Caenorhabditis elegans: one gene and its partner. Each later gene encodes a partner of the first gene's protein in a complex. Each region holds a gene or a part of one and is shown in the gene's direction. Other genes may lie near its edges. The genes, in order: crn-5 and exos-2.

Region 1 (3,648 bases):
TCAGAAAGTTAAAAAGTTGTTGAATGAACTTGACAAATTTGTAACTCCATTTGAATGTTATCAAATGATGATGATTACAAAAGAAAAGCAAGAAGAAGAAGAGAGAAAAGAGGCTGAGAGAAAGAAATTGGAGGAAGGTGATCTACCGAAGACTATGTTCTCACATCATGATGCTCCGATTAATAGAAAACCTGAATTCGATGCGAAGGTTGGTAGATATAATGAAATCTGAAAAAAATCGTTTTTTTTTTTGGGAAAAACCGAAAAAAAATGTCTGAAAAGAAAATTCCAAAATCGGTATTGCTCATACGGAATTCAGAGATTGCTTTATTCTTAAAAAAAAATTTTCGGCGGAAAAACGTACAGATTTGATAGAAAATTTTTTTTTTTCGATTTTCTCTGAAAAAAATTTAGTAAAAAAACTTTAAAAAAAAATTATCTGAAAAAATCACTAAAATCTTTTTTTAATTTTCTCTGAAAAAATAAATAAAAATGAATTTTTTTTCGATTTTCTCTGAAAAAATCAGAAAATAAAACTTCTTTTTTTTCGATTTTCTCAAAAAAAAAATAAATGAAAAAAAATATATTTAAAAATTCCGATGACATCCTTGGTTTTAATAAGATAATTTTCAGCTTCTAAACGTTGATACACTGAAGCTGGTCCCAGATGATCCGAACAAGCCGAAAGATCCAGAACCTTCACCAATGGAAGAATCTTCATCGGAACCTCAAATCTTCGATCCATCTCGTTTTACCGACGACCAGCTACTGTCAAAGAAGGCAATGAAAAGAAAGAGAGATGCTGCTCGACGAAATATAGATGTTTCTGTTGTGCTCGGCGAGTCGTCGAGTAGTTCAGATCCAAAAAAGAAAAAATCTGATGATGATGCTCCCGTTGAAGATTTTGATTATGAAAAAGCTGATAGTAGTGCATTTGGTAAGTTATATTCCTTTGAATTATCCAGACGCGAGATTTAAGGCTAAAAATACGGTACCAGGTCGCGACAACTTGCAAAATGGTGTGCGCCTTTGAAGAGTACTGTAGTTTCAAATTTTCGTTACTGGGAAATTTTCTTCGGTTTTATTTTAGTTTTTTAATAAATAAATTTAAAACTAAAAAAAATTCCGCAGCAACAAAAGTTTGAAATTACAGTACTCTTTAAAGGAGCACACCAGGGCTGGGACAAAAAATATTTTTGAACAAAAAACCAAAATTGAAATTTACGAATTTGCGAAAAACGAACAAAAACCAAAAAAAGTTGATGCTTGAATTTATTTTTCAAAAAAATCGTGAATATGTGAAAATGTATTGGTTTTTCAAAAAATATTTTTGTTGGTCTGAAAAAAAAAACAAAAAAATCAATTTTTCGTCAAAATACAAGAAATATTTCAATTTTTGTTGAATTCCAACAAAAAAACCCAAAAAAAAATCAATGTTATTCGTCGAAGTGCCAATAAAAGCTATTAAAAAACCCAAAAAAAAAAATTCAAAATACCAAAAAAAAACACCAAAAAATCAATTTTTCGTTAAATTCCAAAAAGAACCGCAAATTTGCAAAAAAAAAACGTTTTCTGGCTCAAAATTTGGATAATACCGTACCCAATTATATAGCTCTCAAAAAAGTCTCGAAATCAAATTCCTAATAAATTATTTCCAGAAAAACCTGTTCGAGACAACAACGCCGATTTCGATCCATTCCATCAAAAATATCGATTGAAGAACAAGACAAAGAAGAATATGGCTATGAAAAAATCATCGAATCGACAAGGAACCATCAACTACAAAAAATGATTAAATTGTTACATCCCATCCCATTACCATTGTTATTTTACTTTTTGTTGTTGTGCTTTTTCTTTTGCTTTGAAATTAAAGAAAACTGTTTTTGAAATCTTTTTATTTATTTATTTTTAATTCAATTTGGTTTTCCACCAATTTCAGTTATATTTTCTACAAAATTCATTTTTGTGATTAATTTTGATTTCAGATATCCCCAAATGGCCGGCAGACTTCGTGAAATGCGTTGTGAGCTCTCGTTCCTCAAAAACGCGGATGGCTCGGCATGCTTCTCCCAGGGTGCCACGTGTATTTGGGCTTCATGCAGTGGTCCTGGAGATGTTCACGCTTCGAAAGCAAGTGATGAGGCTATGACTCTGGATATTAGTTATAGAGCAAATTGTGGAGATAACAAGTTCAATGTGGTAGGGGTTTTTGTAGAAATTACTTTTGGAATAATTCTTTTTTCAGCTGAACAATATCATTCATTCTACTCTATCCAATGCAATCAATCTCGAATTGTTTCCCCACACAACAATTTCTGTCACAGTACATGGAATTCAGGATGATGGAAGTATGGGAGCTGTAGCGATAAATGGAGCTTGTTTTGCTCTACTTGACAATGGAATGCCATTCGAGTAAGTTTTTTTAGATACTGTTTTAAAACTGTAATATAATTTTTCAGAACAGTCTTCTGTGGTGTCCTTATTGTTCGTGTCAAAGATGAGCTGATTATTGATCCGACAGCAAAACAAGAAGCTGCATCGACTGGAAGAGTGCTCTTTTCAGTGTGCAAAGGATCCGATGGACATCCAGAAGTGTGTGCGATGGACGCTATAGGACATTGGGATTTTATTCAGCTGGAAGCCGCGTGGTCATTGGCACAACCATCTGCCAGTGCTATTTTTGATTTCTACAAAACTGTGATGAAGAGGAAGCTTTCGGTTGATGAGCAATAGATTATCAATGTTTTGTTGTTGTCGTTGTTGATTTTAATTTTTTATTTAATTTTGAATCCATTGTTTTGTGAGATATTAAAATCTTAAATTTCAAAGTCGAAGTTTTTGTAGAAATGTGACAAGAGAAGGTATTTAGGTATTTAAGAATAGGTTAAGCTTCAGATCCATAATTTGAATATTCGTAGACTCCAGCCGGATCTGAAATAAAAATGGTGAATTTTCAAAATAAGAAAAAAAATCTCACTCAAATGATGTGATCCATTATTCCATCTTCGAACATTTACAACCAGATTGAACACGTGGATGAGTGCAATAATAAAACAAAAAATTGCGACCACCAAAAATCCGAAATCATCAGTCACTTCTTCACTACTAATCGATATTGCCATGGAGATAACATAGCAAATAATTGCAAGAATCGATCCAATACATTCCTAGAAATTCAAATTTCCGTGTAGTTTCACGTGTGCCCCATCGATGCCCGAACTTACAATTGCTGCATACGGTAGCATTCGAATCGCCATTATTGAGATATCGTACTCCTTGAGAAGTACTGCAATTGTGCAAATATCGAAGACGATGGAGCATCCAATTGTGAACCAAATTACTGACATTCCTGAAAAAAGAGGTTTTACGAGAAATTTTAGTACAAAAATCGAACCTGGTGGTCGGAACTTGATGGTTCCAAGGTAGATGAGTAGTGTCAAAGATCCCAGCTAGAATTATTTTATATTTTTATATTACATAGGCGTCTAAATATGATAATTTTTGCGGATGGGTCTCGCCACGCGAATAACGAGTTACTGTAACTCTGTGCCTACGAAGGATGGAGGCCCGTAAATCGACACGAGTTACAGTAACGCGATTTTCGCGTGGCGAGACCAATGCGCGAACATTCGCATCAGACGTCTACGT
Region 2 (4,315 bases), on another chromosome or scaffold:
ATAAAAGATTCTGTAAGAAATTTCTTTAAAATATTAATTTCAAATTCGCCGCGATTTGCGAAGTCAATGGAGGAGTACGGTAGGCGTGTGAAAATGACGGAAGATGAGTGAAAAGAAGTATATTCAAATAATTAATGAAAGCTTTTGATCTGTCCATTTGTCATCGAAAAACACCCGTCCGTCCACCCACATTTTTCGCCGAATTTTTGTGGGAAATTAAGGGCTCTGATAATGCAAATTATGGATAATTTTGTATAAAGTTTTCTAGACATTGGTTAGCGATTTTAAAACTACGAAAAAATGAAATGACAAAATAAATAAGTACTTGCACCTGACTATCATACTTTAACAGCTCATATCTCAATTCATTCAAAACAGTTTACAAACTGTAAAATTGATAAATTTTAGAAAATTAAATAATCAATAAGTTGCCAGTTGACAGTTGTTCAAAAATTTAAAGACAACCAAGTTATAACTTCTAAAATTAATCAATGCCTCGATGTATTAGATACAATATTTTGAAAACATTGTTTTCGATGAACCACAATTTTGTAAATAGTGTATCAGAAACAGTGTTTTTTTTTTTCGATTTTTTACAAATTTTTCTGGGAGCTTTTGTAAGACTCCTACTACTATTTTTATGGGAAATTTTAGAAAAGTAAATAGTCAATTAGTTGTCAGTTAACAATTTTTGATATAAAACAAAAAATAAAAAATGAGCTTCGAATATGGAGCAAGTGTACAACTGCTAGAAAAATATGTGGACCTTTCTTTTGCGACACATTCTTTTTAGGAAATTTGCACTGTTCTGTGAAAGATTTCAATCTGAAATATGAATAGAACAGAAGAAATAATATTGATTTTCCTGAAATTAACCGAATGTTTAGTTGAAGTTCTTGAGAAGTTGTTCAAATACTGGCTCAATTACAATATTCCGGGTACATATGCATTTTTAATAACTTTTAACGAAATTTAAGAATAATATCAAAAATATGTTTCAATACTTCTCATAAAACTCTCAATCAAAATAAGAAATACCAATTCGAAAATTCGAACATTGTTAATCAGAAAATGGTAACTTTATAAATGTTTTTTCAGAAACATTGATTTTTTTTCAATTTTTTCAAAATTTCAAAACTTTTTTCTAAGAGTTCCACATGACCGTCTACCGTCTGAAAATGTTTTTTTTTTAATTTTTAGATGGAGAAGAATACTTTTACAGTCAACCTAAATAAAAAAGAGTACATAAACCCGCAAAATCGGAATCTAGGAAATATTTAAAAATCGCACAATAAACCACCAAAGTTTTGAAAATTTTTCCTTTACGATTTTTACTTCTGTTTTAAATACTCAGTTTTTCTCCAATATATTTCTACGTATCCTCTTTTGTTGTATTTTTCCCGTTCGCATGCAAGTCGAAATTATAGGTGTCCCATTCAACTCACACTTCCTTCCAATGACACCTTTATAAAAAGTCAGACAATGGCTTCGTGTCGAACCTTATTTTTATTTCAATTTCGGGTTTTCATCGTCATTGGTTTAGCAGAAACAATTAAATTTGCACGCTCAATTGGCTCGCACTTTTATGGTCGAAAATCAACATTTGAATAGGCGCCAATTGAGTGACGTGTGGGTTTACGATAAACAGCACGCTTTCCGTCATTTCGGAGTGTCGTTGGAAATAATTATTTTTATTTTCATTTCGAATGAAAGCTTTTTTCAGTTTCTTTGTTTAATTTAAGTTTATTTAAATTTGGTTATTTGCAGACAAAAAAAATTTAAAAAATGAGTTTCGAAGTCACCGGTCCACCCCTCGTATCACCATGGATGATGTTATCAATGTCCGAAGCAAGAAATGATATTGATGAGACAAAAATTGTTATTCCAGGACATTCAGTTTGTGATGCACCGCAACAGTTTATGAGGTATGTATATTGTAAAATACTGTTATATCTTTTTGAAAAATGAAAAAATTAAGATTTTCAGAGGACATGGAACTTACGTTCGCGACGGAGAAATCGTCAGTTCTCTCTCTGGAGTCGTTCAACAATTAAATCGACTGTTGATGGTTAAAACTATTAAACAACGATATGCTGGTGAAGTCGGAGATGTTGTAGTTGCCCGTGTCGTGGAGGTTCAAGCAAAACGGTGGAAGGTTTCAAATTTTTAAGTGAAAAATATAACGATAATTGTTTTTCAGTGTGATGTGGCATCTCGTCTTCATGCAAATCTTCCACTAGGTTCAGTTCTCCTGCCAGGAGGAGACTTTCGCAGAAAAGATGTAGAAGATGAGGAGAAAATGAGCGAATTCTTGAAAAACGGAGAACTGATCTGTGCAGAAGTCCAACAAGTCCAGCACGACGGAACACTTATGCTACACACAAGAAATAATAAGTACGGAAAATTGCAACAAGGAATATTGATTAAGGTAATATTTTATAAAATCTTAAGAAAACGCAATTATAAATTTTTAAATAATAGTTCGGAAAGTTGTTATATTTCTTTAAATTCATCATCCAATTGATTCCAATTAGCTCACGTACGGCGTCTTGCTCTAAAAGCCTCAGAAGTTTTATTCAATTCTCGATCTCTGTACTCAATCACAGGATCTTGATCCTTCTTTGCAGTTGGATGCAGTTCAACAGTCTCGACGCCATAACGAAGAATACAAAAAATTACAAGCAACGCAGCAATGAGAATCCATTGTGTATAAGCACGCCATTCGGGAATTGGGCTCTTTAATAATAATTTTCTATTTCAAAAAAAATTAATGAAAAGCTAACCTCCGTGATAACCATATTTGCACGTTCATCGAGTCGGTAGATCATTGAATCGAGCACTTTTGTACGAATATCCTCCGCCTTTTCAAAGTGTTGAGTTTTCTCATTCTTATGCGACATCTCGTTCAAAGCAATATTTCTTTTTTGTTTATGCTGCCAAAATAAATAAAGCGACAAAAAAATCCACAAAATGAGTGGGAAGTCACGGAATTAATTTCTTTTTTTTGCAGGTTCCTCCACATTTGATCAAAAAGTCCAAGAAACATTTTCACACGTTACCCTACGGAATGGCTGTGATTATTGGCTGCAACGGAAGTGTGTGGGTCACGCCGTCGTTGCCGGAGACCACACTTGAAGAGGATGGATCACATGTTCACGAGTTTCAGGTGTGATAGTGATTCTTGAGAAAAATGAATCGAAAATAACAATTAGCGCACATATTTGGTGACTCAACAACGAGAAATTATAATAATTCCAATGATTGACGAGACCTTATAATTTATTCATCATACTCGTGATCATCATAATCGAAAAGAAAAACAAAAAAATTTGGCTTTTTTCGCAATAAAATAAATTTCAGATTGTACCTCCCGACGTACGCGTAACTATGGTCAGAATCGCTGCCTGTGTTCGTCTTCTTCGTGATTATTCCATCTCGATCTACCTCAATTCACTGACAACATGCTATGAAATGAGTCAGCCTTATGAAGTATCGATTGTTTCTTCAGTTTTAAAAAATTAGAAAAATAATTTCAGATCAAAGAGCTCGCCGAGCAAGACACGTCTTCTCGACTCGCCTACCTGATTGCTGCACGGCTTCTACAGGAACTTCAACAGCAGAAGTAATTCTAATTGTTTTGAATGATCTCTCCCTATTTAAAATTTACCTTTTTTGTTGCTGTTATTTCTTGTTGAGTTTCTTATTTACCATTTCAATTAAATAAAACTTTTTACTTTTTCGGATGATATTAGCTGCGATACAAAATCTGAAAGTTTCGAAAGAAATGGTCCATACCCTGAAATTAAACGATCGACCCGTAATCTTTGCAAACCCAAGGTCGCACAGAAATTTTTTTGATCTAGGAATTGTTTCAATTGAACTCCACATTCTAACTTAATGACCGAACAATTTCAGTGAATATACTTCGATTCACACTATCCGCTTTTCAATCCACCAAGTGAGAATCGAGACGATTTTCTGGAAAGTGTTTATTGTGATTCAAAAAAAACCAGGAAGAATTGAAACATTGACCAGAGGAAAACAACAAAAAGGAAAAGAGAGAGCAGGCATGGGACAGACATTCAGTGAAAGCTCAAAAATTATGCTGCTAATTAGCAGACTTCTAACCTAAAAGGATGCATATGAGGTGTTGGGCACAGTAAAAATGGGAAAATATAACAAAGGATCGAATGGTAAACGAGGATCGGATGAACGTTTCATAGAAAACAATGTGAAGTTAATTCGAACTTCTAATTCTCGATGGTGAATAACTTTCGATCATATTATGGATTAATAATGGGAAAACAGCTCCTGA

Evidence for each region.
Region 2: crn-5 (region 1) and exos-2 share a complex: the UniProt entries of both Caenorhabditis elegans proteins name them as parts of the RNA exosome complex.

What each region holds. Positions count from the first base shown.
Region 1 is NC_003280.10:10,590,767-10,594,414, forward strand, and holds crn-5 (Exosome complex component RRP46 homolog), read left to right. Parts: upstream 1-1,985; 5' UTR 1,986-1,995; coding exon 1,996-2,199; intron 2,200-2,245; coding exon 2,246-2,412; intron 2,413-2,459; coding exon 2,460-2,733; 3' UTR 2,734-2,825; downstream 2,826-3,648. Other genes in the region: crn-3 (Exosome complex component 10 homolog), read left to right, coding at 1-208, 634-937, 1,659-1,792; C14A4.6 (MARVEL domain-containing protein), read right to left, coding at 2,885-2,931, 2,978-3,167, 3,225-3,349, 3,395-3,449. UniProt on the Caenorhabditis elegans protein: Non-catalytic component of the RNA exosome complex which has 3'->5' exoribonuclease activity and participates in a multitude of cellular RNA processing and degradation events. Involved in apoptotic DNA degradation.
Region 2 is NC_003282.8:6,413,718-6,418,032, forward strand, and holds exos-2 (Exosome complex component RRP4 homolog), read left to right. Parts: upstream 1-1,760; 5' UTR 1,761-1,785; coding exon 1,786-1,925; intron 1,926-1,986; coding exon 1,987-2,155; intron 2,156-2,200; coding exon 2,201-2,428; exon of another isoform or gene 2,429-2,535; coding exon of another isoform or gene 2,536-2,736; intron 2,737-2,783; coding exon of another isoform or gene 2,784-2,900; exon of another isoform or gene 2,901-2,936; intron 2,937-3,010; coding exon 3,011-3,166; intron 3,167-3,360; coding exon 3,361-3,489; intron 3,490-3,536; coding exon 3,537-3,626; 3' UTR 3,627-3,743; downstream 3,744-4,315. Other genes in the region: Y73B6BL.22 (Nitrogen regulatory IIA protein), read right to left, coding at 2,536-2,736, 2,784-2,900. UniProt on the Caenorhabditis elegans protein: Non-catalytic component of the RNA exosome complex which has 3'->5' exoribonuclease activity and participates in a multitude of cellular RNA processing and degradation events. Involved in regulation of antisense ribosomal siRNA production.